Xenopus tropicalis: one gene and its partners. The main gene of each other region encodes a partner of the protein of the gene in region 4 in a complex. Links are inferred from orthologs where the notes say so. Each region holds a gene or a part of one and is shown on either strand. Other genes may lie near its edges.

Region 1 (4,342 bases), on a different chromosome or scaffold from region 4:
GAACAGCCTTGACATGATGTCAGTGACACTGAAGAGGATCTGAAGAAAGTTGTTCTGCAAAGTAACTTGGAACTCCAGGCCAACTGGCCCATGTGTAAATACTTTATGCATCTAGATATCAGGCATACATGGGCCATGACTGGGTCCTGCAAAGGAGAAACAATATAACTGTTAGATCATAATGCCTTATATATACTCACATTACCTAAAATTTTTCAAGGAAAAGTTCACAGAAAATTGAAATTATTAGCCTTCCTATTCTGCTTATTTTCCACCCACAGCTTTCTATTCTTATCTTGTATTTCTTATCTTTCTGTTCATACCCTCTATTATTCATCTTACATTCTGTGTTCCAAACTACTGCATTGTGGCTATGGTACCTGTTGCTAATTAACTGCCTCTTGGACTGTCTATACCAGTACTGTGCTGCAATTTACATGTAGTGCTCAAATAATTTGTCATACCACATGTTCCAAGGCCAGAATATGTTATAGAATGGCATGATTTCAGCTACTTTTTTTTTTTTAATTTTGTTTTTTAATGATTTGCTTTCCACTTCTGCCTCTTTCCAAGTTTTAAATTCAAAAAGTTATTTCTTTCTCAGGTAACAATTTTATTGTTATTATTACTTATCGTTCATCTTTCAGTCTCTCATTTAAAGGGGTAGTTCACCTTTAAATTAAATTTTACTATGATGTAGAGAGTGATATTCGGAAACAATTTGCAATTTGGATTTTCAGCAGCTAACTGGTTGCTAGGGGTCAATTTAACGTAGAAACCAGGCCCTGGATTAAAAGAGGCCAGAACATTAAAATGAGAGGGCATGTATATAAGGATAAGGCTAAAAAGTTTCAATAATAACTAGAAAGGGAAGTTTGAGAAAAAACTTCATGTTGGGTTGAAAAACATGAAGTCACTGCATGGGCTCCTCCAACTTTCTCTGACCTTGGACCACAGTTATACAGTAAAAACCACTGTGCAAAGTTTGGGGACCCTGGTTTTAATAGTGTCTGAATGGCAGCAACTTAAATTTGATTGGTGGTTGGTGGCTCAACCCCCTTTTTCTAACCTGGAACTGCAGTTACCCAGTGACTAACTCTGGTAAGTTTAGGGACCCTAGGATTAATAGTTAAAGAACGGCAGCAGTTTAAACCAATAAAAGTCAATAGGTGAATTGTGATTGGTGGTTGTGCCCCTTTTTCTAACCTTGAGTCAAAGTCACCCAGTGACAAACAGTGGGCACCCTGGCATAAATAGTGTGAGACTGGCAGCATTTTAAATTTAAAGCAAAATTGAAAGTCAATAGGTAAACTCTGATTGGCTGTTGGTGGCTCCGTCCACTTTTTTAACCTTGAACCACAGTCACCTGGTGCCTAACCCTGCAAAGTTTGGGGACTTCCACCGTCAACAGGTAAAATCTGATTGGCTGTTCACAGCTCCGCCCACTTTTGGGCATCCAACAATCATCATATTTTCATTCAGGCTGGCCCCATGACTATGTGATTCAAGTTTGGGGAGTGTAGCCTCAAAGCTGTAAGATTGGCAGCAGTTTCAATTTCCCCATTAAAGTCAATGGGTAAAATTTGATTGGCCCCTCCCACTTTGGGGGTCATCCAACAAATGTTGCTGTTTCATTCGGGGTGACCCCATTATTATGTTATTCAAGTTTGGGGGGTGCAGCTTCAAAGCTGTAAGTGTGCCAGCAGTTTGAATATCTTCCCTGTCAAAGTCAATGGAAAAATTGGGGGGTTCGGAGCGGCGCAATCGCTTAGAAAAGCACAAGCAACCTGCTCCTCTATAGGCCGAAGAAGTGTGGGGAGTTTGGGTGTTGTACCCCTAAAACTGTAGGAGGAGTAGCGGTTAGAAAATGGGGGGCACTAAGAAGAAGAAGAAGCGGAAGAATAATAATGGGTCAGTGACCCCCCATATGACAGCTGGAAAGAGAATTTCTGAGAAAGGCAAATAATTGAAAAATTATAAAAGTTAAAAAATGAAGACCAATGAAAAATTTGGGACATTCTTAAAATAGTAAAAATTGACAAAAAGGTGAATAATCCCTTTAAAAAAAAGACTTGTGGCAACAATGGATTAAATACCAATGCACATTGGCATAACTAGATGTTACTGGGCATCTTTGCAGTCCTGTAGATTGTAAGCTCTTGCGAGCAGGGCCCTCTCACCCTATTCTTACTCTGCATACCCGTGTTTGTTAAACTTTTTAAAATCCCTGTTTGTTTAAATTTATTGTGAAGTGGTGCATAATTTGCTGGCATTATATAAATGAATGATGATTCTGCCTATTTGAGTAAGTAACAGGGGTGATGAAGGGGTTAAACGCCCTTGGCCACTCAGTTTAACCCATATATCTGCTGGCAGGATGGCAAAGATACCCACTTTGATGCCCCTTTTCCTTAGTTGTTTATCAGACTGAATAAGAAAGGATTGCCCCCTTGGTGCCAGTTTTCCTGCCTTTCCGGGCCAGGCTGGGACAAGCCGGAGTTAACGTAGCGCAACGCTGTCAATGAATGTGATCTGTTAAATTTGTGGTGCAAGTTTATTTCTTTAAAACACCAGTTACTAATAAAACCAACATCAAGGCACCCAACGCCCTTCTTATTTATTTTTGCATTTCTCTTGTGCATAGCAATTTTCTGTTTCTAAATACATCAATTTTTTAAATAAAATGTCATATTTGAACACTTCCTTGTACGAGTTCCCTAAGCCTAAGGGAAGGACAGGCAGCTCGATTCTTCTATACTCACCCCTGTCCGCACTCCTACACACGCTTCTCCTTTGCTAAACTTCCCAGCGCACTAAGCTACAATCACTTCCGATTCCATGCGAGGCATTCTGGGAGATTGAGTTCTTTTGTCAATGAACAGTCGGTGACATCCTGACTCCGGCAATACAGTTCCCGTCATGCTCTGGGCTTCAGGACCCAAATAGGAAGTTGTGATGTGGCTTGTTTGACATTTGAAAGGACTGTGTTTCTCCATTCATCTGAGCTGAGAAAGATCCGACTGGCAGCAGTCATGGCTCAATGTGACGTTCTGTGCTTGTTCGATGTGGATGGCACCCTGACAGCAGCCAGGCAGGTACCAGTATCAGAACCGAGAACTATTCACAAGGATCTGTCACTTTTGGCACAAGTTTATTTTCACACAGCATTGCAAACATGTTATGTGTGTATATGTTGCATTTATATACTGCATGTAAATGCAGTGCTTAAAGTTAACGCAATAGGACAGAGTAAGATTAAGACTTTACCAGAATATAAATAACAGTACAAAATTCTACCCTTCTGCCCCATTAAGTTTATAGTTTATGTTGGATTCCGGGCTGCAACCGGGAATTCATAGTGTATGTTGCATTTCAGTAAAATGCATCCATTTTGACCTGCTAATTGCATAGAATTGATTTAGAAGGGGGGGGGGGGTTAAATTCCCTTTATATATTATAACATTATTATAAGTACTAAGAGGTAGCTAACAAATTGTGACCACATCAGTGATTAAGCTTTTTCCTTGTACTAAGTCTAGAAGTAGGTAAAATTAGGTAAAAAATTAATACATTTCACTTTACTTCTAAAAAAGTGATGGTCAGTGTTTACACCTTCTATGGGGAATAAGTTTTCTTGTACTTGTGACTGGGTTTATCTTTTTTACTGACAAACAACAAAGGTCTTAGCTTGCTTTATGACAATAAACATTTAGTACATGCTGCTTGGAGTACATTTTGGGACACACTGCTAATGACAAGCACTGCTACAAGTAGGTGAAATCACCAAGAAGCTCTGTATCTTCGAGTAATCCTAGATTACTTTTTTTTTTTTATGCACTGTCTGCATAAAAAGTAAGGATAATTTTAACAAAATGCAGATATTGGTTCAAACTGCCATGTTTTTTGCACAATTGAACTCAGCCTGCATTCACACCATGGATGCAGGTCTTTGTGGTCCAGCGAGGAGTTCAAGACCCTGTGCACCCCCAACCTGACAACCTGAAAAAACAGGCACTCTGCAGAGCTGTATTCACAAGGGACCACTGGGGAGGGGGCATATAGGAGTTTTCTATCCTTCCCCCCTAATTGCATTTCATTCTATCTTTGGGAGGCTAAAAATTCATGCCCGCCAGCACATTAATTATTAATCTGCTGTGAGGTGCAGAGCATAGCTGGCCCTTATGCTGGGTAAATGGTCAGTAATAGGCAGAATTTTGAGCCCCTTTGAGCTGTAGCATTTGCACGTGGGACAATGATAAATGACCCCAGCATGTCTTGCATTTACATGAATGATGCAGGCAATAGGGAGCTGAAGTTCAACCATGATAAAGGGTCCATCTTT
Region 2 (4,273 bases), on a different chromosome or scaffold from region 4:
CTCAGATGGAGGTAAAATTCCTTCCTGACTCCAAGATGGCAATTGGACCAGTCCCTGGATCAACTTGTACTAAGAGCTATCTCCCATAACCCTGTATTCCCTCACTTGCCAAAAAGGCATTCAACCAGCTCTCTAATGTATTAGCCAGTACAACTGATTCAGGAAGAGAAAGCCACAACTTCGCAGCTCTCATTGTAAAAAATACTTTCCAAGTATTTAGATGGATCCTCTTTCTCCTTCTTTCAGGCCTTGACTGACAATCTTTGGTTCTGGCAAATTAGCCAGAATGGCTAACCTAAGATGTCACAGACAGAAGGAAAGGTAAAAACTAAGTAAGCTTTATCAGAAAGTCTATGTAAATACAGCCATAAGCACTCACAGAAAAGCTGCACTGAGGTCTCTGTCAAAATCTGAACTAATGATCTTTCCGCCTAAGCCTGGTCCTACTCCCCCCTTTTCTATCTCTATTGAAGGCACCCTCATCAACCCTGTCGATTCGTCACGCTGTTTGGGGGTGATCTTTGACTCCTGTCTCTCCTTCTCTGACCACATTAACTCCACTGTCAAAACCTGTCACTTTTTCTTACGCAATATTGGCAAAATCTGTCCCTTTCTCTCTACTGCAACAGCTAGGCTGCTCATGCATGCCCTCATCCTATCCCGACTGGACTACTGCAACCTGTTATTAACCGGCCTCCCTAACTCCCATCTTTCCCCCCTACAGTCTATATTAAATACTGCTGCCAGAATTCTCCTCCTCTCATCCAGGAGAGTTCAGGCCCCTCCCCTGCTAAAGGCCTTATCGTGGCTTCCTATTAAACAAAGAATATCTTACAAACTTCTTCTAACCTTCAAAGCCCTCCATTCCTCTGCTCCTCACTACATCTCTTCCCTTGTGTCTCCGTACGTCCCTGGCCGACTCCTTCGTTCCTCGCAGAGCAATCGCTTGGCTGCGCCCCCCACTACAACTGCTGTTTCCCGCCTTAACCTTTCTGCCTTGCTGCCCCTTACATCTGGAATGCCCTCCCTGATTTCCTCCGGAGAGAATCCTCCCCCAGTCTTTTTAAAACCAAACTAAAAGACTACCTTTTGGAGAACTCGCCCAGCACCTGATCTGGGAATCAGCACTTATATTGTAATGTCACCCACTGTGACCTACAGCACTTATATTTGCCTATTTGTGTCTGTAAGTTACCCTCCCATATAGATTGTAAGCTCTACGGGGCAGGGACCTCCATCCTCTTGTGTCTTTGACTCTTAACTTATTGCAACTGTATCTTGTATTTATTTGTATTTATTGTTATACTTTGTATTTATCTATTATCTTATTAACCCCCTGTTCGTATTAATGTATTCTACTGTACAGCGCTGCGTACATAAGTAGCGCTTTATAAATAAAAATATACATATATACAAAAGATTTCTTGTGTCTGTAATTCATGTGCCAGCTCTCTCCTCTCTCCCCTCTCCTGCACCCCCTCCCCAAAGAATGCTAAGAACTCACTCCCCCCCATAGGAATGTGGATCTGGGCCAATCAGCAGGAAGCTTCCTCATAGTCTTACAAACTGAGCATGTAACCAGTCTTGGTCTTGGTGGAGGAGCATGGCATTATGGGAACTTTCTTTACACAGCTCAGCATTTTTTCCCCCTATTATGCTTCTGATCATCTGAACAGGAGAAATATGGGGAGACTTAAGGGCACTATTGAGACAACTGAAGGTATGCCTGCAGCTTGAGATTAACTCTTTATTAGCCTTTCCTTCTCCTTTAAGGGTATAAATGGCTTGCATATAAATGCAAATTTTTCTAAACTAGCAATGTGGAATTTTTAATGCTTAAGGAATAGGGTCAGTTAAATATAACTGACAAGTAAATATACAGTATAACACAATTCAGAGTTATACATATATCATTCATTTCCGTATACTGGAATCTTTGGAACCCAAGTTGTTGTAATTAATTTCCAGCATCAGTGCATTAGTTTAAATGGGTTGTTCACCTTCCAAATAAATTTTCATTTCAGATGTTTTTCTGTAGTACATTAGAAATAAAGACTATTTGTTGGTTGCATTCTAATTTACATTTTTACCCATTTTACTAGTATAGAATGATTTCTTTTTCACCTTCTCATGTCCCTCTGGAGAAGCTAAATATACTTGTAGATTGTAAGCTCTTTTGGGCAGGGCCCTCTTCACCTCTTGTATCGGTTATTGATTGCTTTATATGTTACTCTGTATGTCCAATGTATGTAACCCACTTATTGTACAGCGCTGCGGAATATGTTGGCGCTTTATAAATAAATGTTAATAATAATAATACTCTCTTTTTGACAAGACTTTGTTTAGTTATGCTTATGTAGGTAAGGTACATAAACACTAACCTTCCAGAATATATATTTACACAGAAATGCCTGATTTCACAGATTGTAATAGTCTGCCTGTTTTCAATGAAACCAGTTTCCCCACCCCCCCTTTTACTCACAGTATAATGCAACCTCCCCCACCTTGTTGTAAAGTAATGGGTTGTGTGACTTAAAGTTCCTCTGCTTTTCACACTGTTTGGTGCGTAGGTTCAGTGGAAAGCAAAGGAGCTTCAAGTCCCATTAAAGGGTTTGTCCACCTTTTCTCACTGCTACCCAAAAGATAGATTATGTTCCCCTGAGTATGATAATATGTGCCACGCAAAGACTGTGTATCTATGTGTTTGAATAAGCTGTTTAACACTTACTGTAAAAGCTGCAGTTCACACAAAGGCATACAGAAACATTTCAGGGAGGCGGAGCATTTGTTTCTTCCCTGCAATGTGAGTCACATGGGAGCTTCCCCCCTGCTCCCCCCTCCCTCCCTGAACATTCATAGCAGAGACAGCAGCAGCACCAGGTGCCGGGCAGTTTAGCAGCCAATCAGAGGAGAGGCAAGAAAAGCAACATGCACAGTAGCTTTAGACTCCTACTGCCAGTGCTCAGTGTTACACAGAGCTTCCACACGCTGACACAGGCTTGTGCAGAAAGGGTTCAGCGACCCCCTCCCCTGGTGCCTCTGCTGTATCCTGCCCTATACAGAAACGCTATCTTCAGAGGTAATTTTCTCTAAAACAGATAAATTACATATTTTATTAAAATGACCTAATCTGCTAAAATAGCTTCATTTATGTGAAGGTGAACAACCCCTTTAACAATACTGAAACCAGCTTCTATGCAGTTGCAGAATTACTTAACAGTTACCAGTGTGTCATACAACCAGGTGTTAAAGAGATACCGACACCAGAAATTAAACCCTTTTTACAACTGCCTTTGCATGCTATTTATAATTTTTCCATAATAGTATTTGTTTTTATGTTACCCATCTGATCCCCCATGTTGCTTTATGAGGGGGCAGCCATATTTGTGCAGCAGGAGTCTGTTAGCATTAGAAATGATAACTGACAGGCTGAGAAGGGACAGTCAGGTTGGCAAAACAGTCAGGTTTAGGAACTTCAAACAACAATTACTTACAAAAGCAGCCCTATCTGTGAAAAATGATCAACGTGACCTATAGGTAACTTTTTACATACATTCATATTTTGAAGAGTAGTTTTTTAGTGTCAGTATCACTTTAATTAACTGAAAGCAAACGGAATATAATTTCCTAAATAATAGTATAAGCTGGTCAAAAGGTCACATTTCATATGGATCTCTGAACAGCTGTGCTCTGAATCCGATCCCAGCTCATGCAGCATATCTGTGAATAATACCAGTTTTAATCCACTGAACCTTTAAAGTATTTAGGAGGCTGTATTTCAGATTCGCTCTGGGATAAAGCGGCGGATAAATTCATTATAGTCTTTACTGGGGACACTGGAGTCTTGCAAAACCATTACAGGTTTTTTTTATTTAATAATCTTTCTTTTTCCAAGTAATACTGTTGGCTTGTAACAGGGCTACCTGTGGCTGGCAGGCACCCATTACTGTCAAATGCATGTACACGGTCTTTACTAAAAAAGTAGGCATCTTAACCCAGTTGCAAAGAATCACACACACTTTATTACAGACTTCTTGCAGGGAAGCAGGTATACAGCACACAATACTTCTGCACGTCTCTCTTTTTGCTTCTCACACTTACACATAGCAATTCCCATCGCCTCCCCTGTCTCCTTACAGTGTCCAAGCTTTACCCGTAGGTCCTCCTCTAATCTACAACTAAACATTTAAACTCTGAATTGAGTCGGTTGAGAGTTTAGGAGAGCTAGGTTAACAGTTAACAGAATATGTTTATACTTGCTTACTAATCTACT
Region 3 (4,223 bases), on a different chromosome or scaffold from region 4:
CTGCAGGAAGTGGCTGCAATCTGTCATTTTTAGATGGGATTAAACTATTACACAGCCAGATATTAGTTTGCCCAATCTTGGCAAACTCATCCCAACCTCAAATACAGGATTTAATGGTTTTCTTTTACCTTTATGTCTTGCCAGTAAGGGCCTCCTTGGGTGTATATGAAATAATTGTATAGATCATCCCTTTGTTGGGAGAAATAGCTGTCTGACTTGATGTTCACCATCCAAGGTCGTCCATCCCCACGTACTCGCAAGTACAGAGTGTTAAAGTTGGACCAGTCATAATGCAGCTTACGATTGAATGCTCCCTACATGTTAAAAACAAACAATCATGAAACATTTATGTGCATTGATTTATACCCTGAGGTTTTTGCAATGACAGATTTATTACTCTGGAGAAGACAGGCCATGGTTGCAATCACACATGTGAAATGTTATTTGTTGGTAAAGCCAAGCTGGCAGTCTGCTAACGTTCATTATTATCTGGCCACTGGGGGAGCTGTTACATTAAAGTTTATGGAGATAAATACTTAAAGAAAAACTGTCATGGGAAAACATTTTTTCAAAATATATCAGTTAATACAGCTTCTTCAGCAGAATCCTGCATTGAAATACAATTTTTTAAAGCACAAACATTTTTTATTTTGTATTTCACATTGGGTTAGACATATTCTTCATTTCCCAGGGTGCCACAGTCATGTGACCTGTGATCTGATAAACTTCAGTCACTCTTTACTGCTGAGCTGCAAGTTGGAGTGATATCCCCCCTCCCAGCAGCCGATCAGCAGAACAATGGGAAGCGAGCAAGATAGCAGCTCCCAGTAGGTATCAGAATAGCACTCAATAGCAAGAAATCCAAGTCCGGCTTGGGACTCCTCCAGTTACATTGGAGTAGGAGATATATTAAGTTACCTGAAAGCAGTTCTAATATGTAGCACTGGCTCCTTCTGAAAGCTCAGACACACAATGCACTGAGATGGCGCCTACACACCAATATTACAGCTAAAAAATACATTTGTTGGTTCAAGAATAAAGTGTTAAATGGTAGAGTGAATTATTTGCTATGTAACCAGTGTAATTCAGAAATAAAAAGTATGCCATAAAAATCATGACAGAATCCTTTTACCTAAAAGAGGAAATAAATTGGAGGTAAACCATGCATATTTCATAAAAATTGTTTATAATGGAAATGGTAATGGTCCACTCCAGTAAGTAACAAAAACCAAAGGCCGTTGGCCCTCCAGCTATAAATCTCCAGCTTTCCCTAATGGCCACTGTAGTTTGATGCATGTTGCACATACCTACCATTAAATATTCAATAAACAGACTGTGCACACTTAACTGGTTTCAATATAAAATGTAGCAGTTCACCAACATTCTCATTAGTCTTTTATTTGGAACTGCTATCAGATCAGTCTAAATATTAAATAAAGGCAGTGAATAAATGGTACAGTGTAGCCTTTAAACATTTAATAATGAGCACAGCAACCCACACCTTTACTGCCTTTTATAGAACATTTCCCCCTGACACTGCCATATATTTAACCCAATATATAAAAAGGCAATAATTTTGCCTAGGTGCCGTAACCCATTAGCAACCAATAAAATGGGTAGAGCTATTCTAAAACAACAATAATAACTATTTGGACAGTTATTATCTGTGTGTAGCTTCTGTTCCGCAGCTCTTCTGTGTTGCATAGTAACCACACTGTTGTTAAGAGGGACAGTGGCTCAAGGGCAGAGGCTAAAACACAACAATGCTTTCCTATTGCAGTTGCATTGAGTGGCTTATCTAGCTTAAATCTGCCCATGTATGGCCTTAAGTCTGCCCTACAGACGCCTGGGAAAGGTAATTAAGCCATGTAGCACTGTGTATTTTTCCCAACAGTAGCACCAACCCCAGGGATAAAGACATAGCAATTTTATTCACTCGGGGGGCGCCCAACATATTGGCATCCCACAGTGAATTTGCTATTCCTTCATATTTAAAAGTTACATTTAAAAAAAAAAAAAAAAATTTATGAACACTAAAAATATTTAGCAACAGATGTGATTCTTTAAGTTCAGCTTTAGTATGTTACACTGTAGACTTATTTGTTACAACTTTTCAAGTGGTTTTCAATATTTTTTAATCATAGTTTTTGAATTATTTGACTTCTTCTGGCTCTTTCTGGCTTTCAAATGGGGGTCACTGACCCCAGAAGCCAAACTGTGTCAGAATATCAGTCTTTACATCAGACTAAAAGTAAATATAAAGGCGAACAACCCCTTTACATGGAAGTGCATTATTTCTCTTTACTAGCACTGTACTTACCAAAGGGGTTTTGGACTTCATAGTGCAGTACCCACTGTATCTTGTTTCGCCATCCCGAGGAACTTCAGTATTGAGGGTACCATAAAAAAGAGCTGTCTGATTGTTCCTTCCCAGCTTTAGAGACACCTGACTTTTCCCTCCTATCTCCTGGTCTGACGATAGAGTCCATTTGTCCAGATCCTCTAAGCTTCTGAACTCCCAAACAACATTTGTCTGCTCCAAAATATTCTCCCTCAAAGTCTTTCCCCCAGGACCTCTCAAATGATCCTCTACTTCCTTCTTCAGCAACCCAAAGTGTTTCTTCACTCCTGCCACTCCCTTCTCAAAGCTGAAATTGATCCTTTTCCAAGGAGGAGTGTTGTCTGGGGGGAGGCCAGGCCTGCGATATTTGCTGCTGTACAGTTTGCATTGCAAGAGTTGTGAAGACGGGTGCAACAATGGGCAGAATGGTTTAGTCCATCTGGGATGTCTGCACAGATGTAGCTTCTGTATTATATTTAAGCTTAAAGCCATTGCTGTTTAGATATAAAATAAAAATGTTCAGTTTATAAAATCCTGAATGTTGCATGAAACCCAGGGGCCTTTACCTAAAAATAATTTGGGGTTTGAGAGAAAAAGACAATATCATTTAAGACATTTAAATACAAATACATTTTTTAAAGAAATCTGTAGAAGTTACTGTGTTTTTCCTCAGGGCGCAATTATCAACATCAAAGATTCTTGGGGGGGGGGGGTTATTTACAAACATATCTGCACCATTGCAACCAACCAACATTGAATACATTACAGCAGTGGGGAGCATCAGGTAAGGTGTGAAGTTTAAGAGAGCAACTCGCTTGGGGGAAGGGACAGAGACATGTGCTAAGTAGGTATTGTGGGTTTAGGGCTCATACATTTCCTAGCAATGCATGCTGATACATATACAGAGAGATCATCATCAATAACCAAAAGGCTTACCCCTGGAAGCAGAAGCTTAGGAAGGCAAGGTCATCATTTCAGCAGAGACTGACATAACAAAAGAAGGTCAAGTTGGTGCAAAACAATGTAAATGACAGAAAGGAGCTTGGATACTATGTGCCTTTATTGCCTAAGTGGTAAAGCCCTGAAGGACCCTGCATAGCTGCCTGTACCGCAACAAGTTCCATTATATACCTGGTATGGGGCTGCAGCTGAAGCAAGCACACAGTATTACCATTATTCCATAAGGCTACAGCGGCTCACCTCCACAGTGCACTCCTTCAAGGAGCCATAGTACTGACAACCCGTGAACCTCTGAGCATGCGTGTCCGTGTCGCCTCCTAATGACCTCACCGCTAGCCAACCAATTAAACGTGAGAGCGGGCAGGCAAAGGCAGGCATGCGCAGATGCGTTGCTGATGGAACGCATGGGAAAGCGTTTGTATACAGCTTTATTTACACCTAACAAACATTCTTGAAGACAACGTTACAGATTAGTCTACCTAACTAAGATTATCATTCATCTATCCAGCCATCACGTGCATTCAAAATTATGAATTTATAAGAAACAGTGAGTTAAGAAGATCGTGTTAGTTTGTGTAAAAAGCTTAATACATATACCACATACTAGGCAATATTGCATCCCTTTTCCTCAGTTTTAAATATTATCCTTTATTTATATATCACTCATATATAAATGCAGCACATTGCATTGATTATGATACTCATCTGCCCCTTTGCCATTGGAGCTTACAATCTAAGGTCCCTATATCATTTACATACACTAAGGTCACTTTCATCAAAGGCCAATAAAGCTCACTGTATGGTTTAAGAGGAATCACAGTTCCCAGAGGAAACCCACACAAGCACAGGAAAAACATACAGTGCCCAGATTGGAACCAAATTCAGGGAGCCGTGCTAATTACAGGCCACCAGTGTAGTTTAC
Region 4 (4,197 bases):
CTGTCTGTGTCACTGTATCACCCTGCAGTGGGAGGGGCAGACATGTCCCATAGCCCCCTCCTGTCTGTGTCACTGTATCACCCTGCAGCGGGAGGGACAGACTCCATGTCCCATAGCTCCCTCCTGTCTGTGTCACTGTATCACCCTGCAGTGGGAGGGACAGACTCAGTGTCCCATAGCCCCCTCCTGTCTGTGTCACTGTATCACCCTGCAGTGGGAGGGACAGACTCCGTGTTCCATAGCTCCCTCCTGTCTGTGTCACTGTATCACCCTGCAGTGGGAGGGGCAGACATGTCCCATAGCCCCCTCCTGTCTGTGTCACTGTATCACCCTGCAGCGGGAGGGACAGACTCCATGTCCCATAGCTCCCTCCTGTCTGTGTCACTGTATCACCCTGCAGTGGGAGGGACAGACTCCGTGTCCCATAGCCCCCTCCTGTCTGTGTCACTGTATCACCCTGCAGTGGGAGGGACAGACTCCATGTCCCATAGCCCCCTCCTTGGCCCATAGTAAGTAGTGTAGTAAGTAGTAGGCTCTTTACCGTAATTCTCCATCTGCTCTAGCACCCTTATGGCGCACTCCTGCTGGCGTGGGTAGTGGTTGAACATCCTCTGGATGTAATTTTGGGGGACAAAGACCTCCTTGGGAAACACGTCAAGCAATTTATTATAAACCTCCAAGTCCTTTTCCACCCCAAACTCCGTCATCCATCTAAGAGCCGCCTCTATGATCTCCACATGTCCTCTCCTCCTCACATCTCGGTTGCAGTAAAGATCAAGGACCTCCACAAAGGAGGCTTTGTTCCTCTGCTCCCTCTGGAACACATCCTCGTATGGAGTAACCGAGCCGGCTGAGGAAGTGGCTTGGGGAGGCCCAGGAGGCGGAGATGTGTGAAGACAGCAGGTCACCTGTTTCTGGAAGACGACATGCACAGGATAACATTTCTGATTAAGCTTCCAGGGAAGTTCTATTACTCAGGTGACAATATGCAGTGGTTGCCCACTAGGTACAAAACCCCACAAAAACCCTGCACACCAGAAAAAACTTCCCCAGGGAGGTATTTATAATTAAAAAAAAACATTTTATTCATTTAAACATGATACAGAAAAAAGTATCAACCTTAAAAATTGTATATCCATCAAAAAGCAAATAAATACATACCCCCAGTGTAATAACTGAAAAACAAGATATGAAGGCAGATAATCTGGATGAGAGAATACCCCAACGTTTCCGCTCAAACGCCTTTGTTTAAATGAATAAAATGTTTTTTTTAATTATAAATACCTCCCTGGGAAAGTTTATTCTGGTGTGCAGGGTTTTTGTGGATGTGTATAGTCCTCTTATGGGGGGATTATTAAAACCCTAGCACCTGGATACTTTATACTTATTTTTTGTATATATAATAACTCCTGGCAAGGATATTCTAGCCAGGAGTGCCCTCCATTTCTCTAAATTGTTGCCCACTAGGTAGCCAGTGTGCCCTGTCTGTAACTGAAGGAGGGTACACGCCCGAGATTAAAGGGAAAGTCTGACTATGAGAGGGGACAGGAGAGAATGGAATATTCCACGTATAAGTGGAAACGTGTCGGCGCTGCGCTTACCTGGGCGTTATTGCCGGTGCCAAGAGCCTGGCCTGCTGGTATGCCTCTGCCCCGGGCACACAGATGACGGGCAGAAATCAGGAAGCGCAAGGTTCTCATCCTGACGGCTTGATGCTGCTTCATAAAATAAATAAATAAATATATAATGGACACCCTGGCACCCCTCCTTCTTTATGGTGCACCCCAAAGGCCAGCCATGCCCCTACAGTTGTACCAGTGGTGCCGCCCATGTGGGTTCCTAGTGCTCAGGGCAATCACATGGTTGGTAGGAGACAGAGCCAGACTGGCACAGGCTATAGGTGGGAGATGGGCACAGGCTATAGGTGGGAGATGGGCACAGGCTATAGGTGGGAGATGGGCACAGGCTATAGGTGGGAGATGGGCACAGGCTATAGGTGGGAGATGGGCACAGGCTATAGGTGGGAGATGGGCACAGGCTATAGGTGGGAGATGGGCACAGGCTATAGGTGGGAGATGGGCACAGGCTATAGGTGGGAGATGGGCACAGGCTATAGGTGGGAGATGGGCACAGGCTATAGGTGGGAGATGGGCACAGGCTATAGGTGGGAGATGGGCACAGGCTATAGGTGGGAGATGGGCACAGGCTATAGGTGGGAGATGGGCACAGGCTATAGGTGGGAGATGGGCACAGGCTATAGGTGGGAGATGGGCACAGGCTATAGGTGGGAGATGGGCACAGGCTATAGGTGGGAGATGGGCACAGGCTATAGGTGGGAGATGGGCACAGGCTATAGGTGGGAGATGGGCACAGGCTATAGGTGGGAGATGGGCACAGGCTATAGGTGGGAGATGGGCACAGGCTATAGGTGGGAGATGGGCACAGGCTATAGGTGGGAGATGGGCACAGGCTATAGGTGGGAGATGGGCACAGGCTATAGGTGGGAGATGGGCACAGGCTATAGGTGGGAGATGGGCACAGACATTTATATTATTGTATTTATGCTTTCGAAATATATTCATTATTCTTTATAAATGCACCCGGGTCATAATTCATTTCCAATTACAGAAATATATTTGTTCACTACTAACCCCAGCTGGCAGTACGGGGATCTGTACTATACGGTCCGGCAGTACGGTACCGCTCAGCCAGTGGGCCTGTGTGTATGGGCAGGGGCACCGGGGCGCCTTGTATGGCTGTAGCTGGAGGGCTCCGCTCACTGAGCAGTACACCACAAACACTTATCCCGGTATTCCTACATACATACCGACATATATACACCTACCTACAAGCTTCAGTGTCACTGCAGCCGACTGGGCGCCGCCATCTTGGAGGAATTGAGTGACGTCAAGGAGCCTGCCTTCCGAGCCGGGCGGGAACAGAAGACTGAGTGAGATGGTTCCGGGCACTGTAACGTGTTGTCTTCACTCTTCATCCTCTTACACTCTCCAGCTGCTGTCCCCCATGTATTCCCTTACTCACTCCCTCACTGTCACTCACACTCCCTCCTGTCAGTATCCCTCACTGTCACTCACACTCCCTCCTGTCACTCACACTCCCTCCTGTCACTCACACTCCCTCCTGTCAGTATCCCTCACTGTCACTCACACTCCCTCCTGTCACTCACACTCCCTCCTGTCACTCACACTCCCTCCTGTCAGTATCCCTCACTGTCACTCACACTCCCTCCTTTCAGTATCTCTCACTGTCACTCACACTCCCTCCTGTCACTCACACTCCCTCCTGTCAGTATCTCTCACTGTCACTCACACTCCCTCCTGTCAGTATCTCTCACTGTCACTCACACTCCCTCCTGTCAGTATCTCTCACTGTCACTCACACTCCCTCCTGTCAGTATCCCTCACTGTCACTCACACTCCCTCCTGTCAGTATCCCTCACTGTCACTCACACTCCCTCCTGTCAGTATCTCTCACTGTCACTCACACTCCCTCCTGTCAGTATCTCTCACTGTCACTCACACTCCCTCCTGTCAGTATCCATCACTGTCACTCACACTCCCTCCTGTCAGTATCCCTCACTGTCACTCACACTCCCTCCTGTCAGTATCTCTCACTGTCACTCACACTCCCTCCTGTCACTCACACTCCCTCCTGTCAGTATCCCTCACTGTCACTCACACTCCCTCCTGTCAGTATCCCTCACTGTCACTCACACTCCCTCCTGTCAGTATCCCTCACTGTCACTCACACTCCCTCCTGTCAGTATCTCTCACTGTCACTCACACTCCCTCCTGTCACTCACACTCCCTCCTGTCACTCACACTCCCTCCTGTCACTCACACTCCCTCCTGTCAGTATCCCTCACTGTCACTCACACTCCCTCCTGTCAGTATCTCTCACTGTCACTCACACTCCCTCCTGTCACTCACACTCCCTCCTGTCAGTATCTCTCACTGTCACTCACACTCCCTCCTGTCAGTATCTCTCACTGTCACTCACACTCCCTCCTGTCAGTATCCCTCACTGTCACTCACACTCCCTCCTGTCAGTATCTCTCACTGTCACTCACACTCCCTCCTGTCAGTATCTCTCACTGTCACTCACACTCCTTCCTGTCAGTATGCCTCACTGTCACTCACACTCCCTCCTGTCAGTATCTCTCACTGTCACTCACAC

The links.
Region 1: ecsit (region 4) and tmem186 share a complex: the UniProt entries of both Homo sapiens proteins name them as parts of the mitochondrial complex. The link is inferred for Xenopus tropicalis from reciprocal best matches to the Homo sapiens genes ECSIT and TMEM186.
Region 2: ecsit (region 4) and coa1 share a complex: the UniProt entries of both Homo sapiens proteins name them as parts of the mitochondrial complex. The link is inferred for Xenopus tropicalis from reciprocal best matches to the Homo sapiens genes ECSIT and COA1.
Region 3: ecsit (region 4) and ndufaf1 share a complex: the UniProt entries of both Homo sapiens proteins name them as parts of the mitochondrial complex. The link is inferred for Xenopus tropicalis from reciprocal best matches to the Homo sapiens genes ECSIT and NDUFAF1.

Annotation. Positions count from the first base shown.
Region 1 is NC_030685.2:38,351,995-38,356,336, reverse strand, and holds the start of tmem186 (transmembrane protein 186), read right to left. Parts: upstream 2,858-4,342; 5' UTR 2,763-2,857; intron 147-2,762; 5' UTR 138-146; coding exon 1-137. Other genes in the region: pmm1 (phosphomannomutase 2), read left to right, coding at 3,033-3,095. UniProt on the Homo sapiens protein: As part of the MCIA complex, required for efficient assembly of the mitochondrial complex I.
Region 2 is NC_030682.2:57,067,401-57,071,673, reverse strand, and holds the start of coa1 (cytochrome c oxidase assembly factor 1 homolog), read right to left. Parts: upstream 2,838-4,273; 5' UTR 2,729-2,837; intron 1-2,728. UniProt on the Homo sapiens protein: Component of the MITRAC (mitochondrial translation regulation assembly intermediate of cytochrome c oxidase complex) complex, that regulates cytochrome c oxidase assembly.
Region 3 is NC_030684.2:115,761,571-115,765,793, forward strand, and holds the start of ndufaf1 (complex I intermediate-associated protein 30, mitochondrial), read right to left. Parts: upstream 2,837-4,223; 5' UTR 2,836-2,836; coding exon of another isoform or gene 2,834-2,835; coding exon 2,321-2,833; intron 315-2,320; coding exon 129-314; intron 1-128. UniProt on the Homo sapiens protein: As part of the MCIA complex, involved in the assembly of the mitochondrial complex I.
Region 4 is NC_030679.2:139,307,449-139,311,645, forward strand, and holds the start of ecsit (evolutionarily conserved signaling intermediate in Toll pathway, mitochondrial precursor), read right to left. Parts: upstream 2,859-4,197; 5' UTR 2,846-2,858; intron 1,719-2,845; 5' UTR 1,701-1,718; coding exon 1,602-1,700; intron 915-1,601; coding exon 542-914; intron 1-541.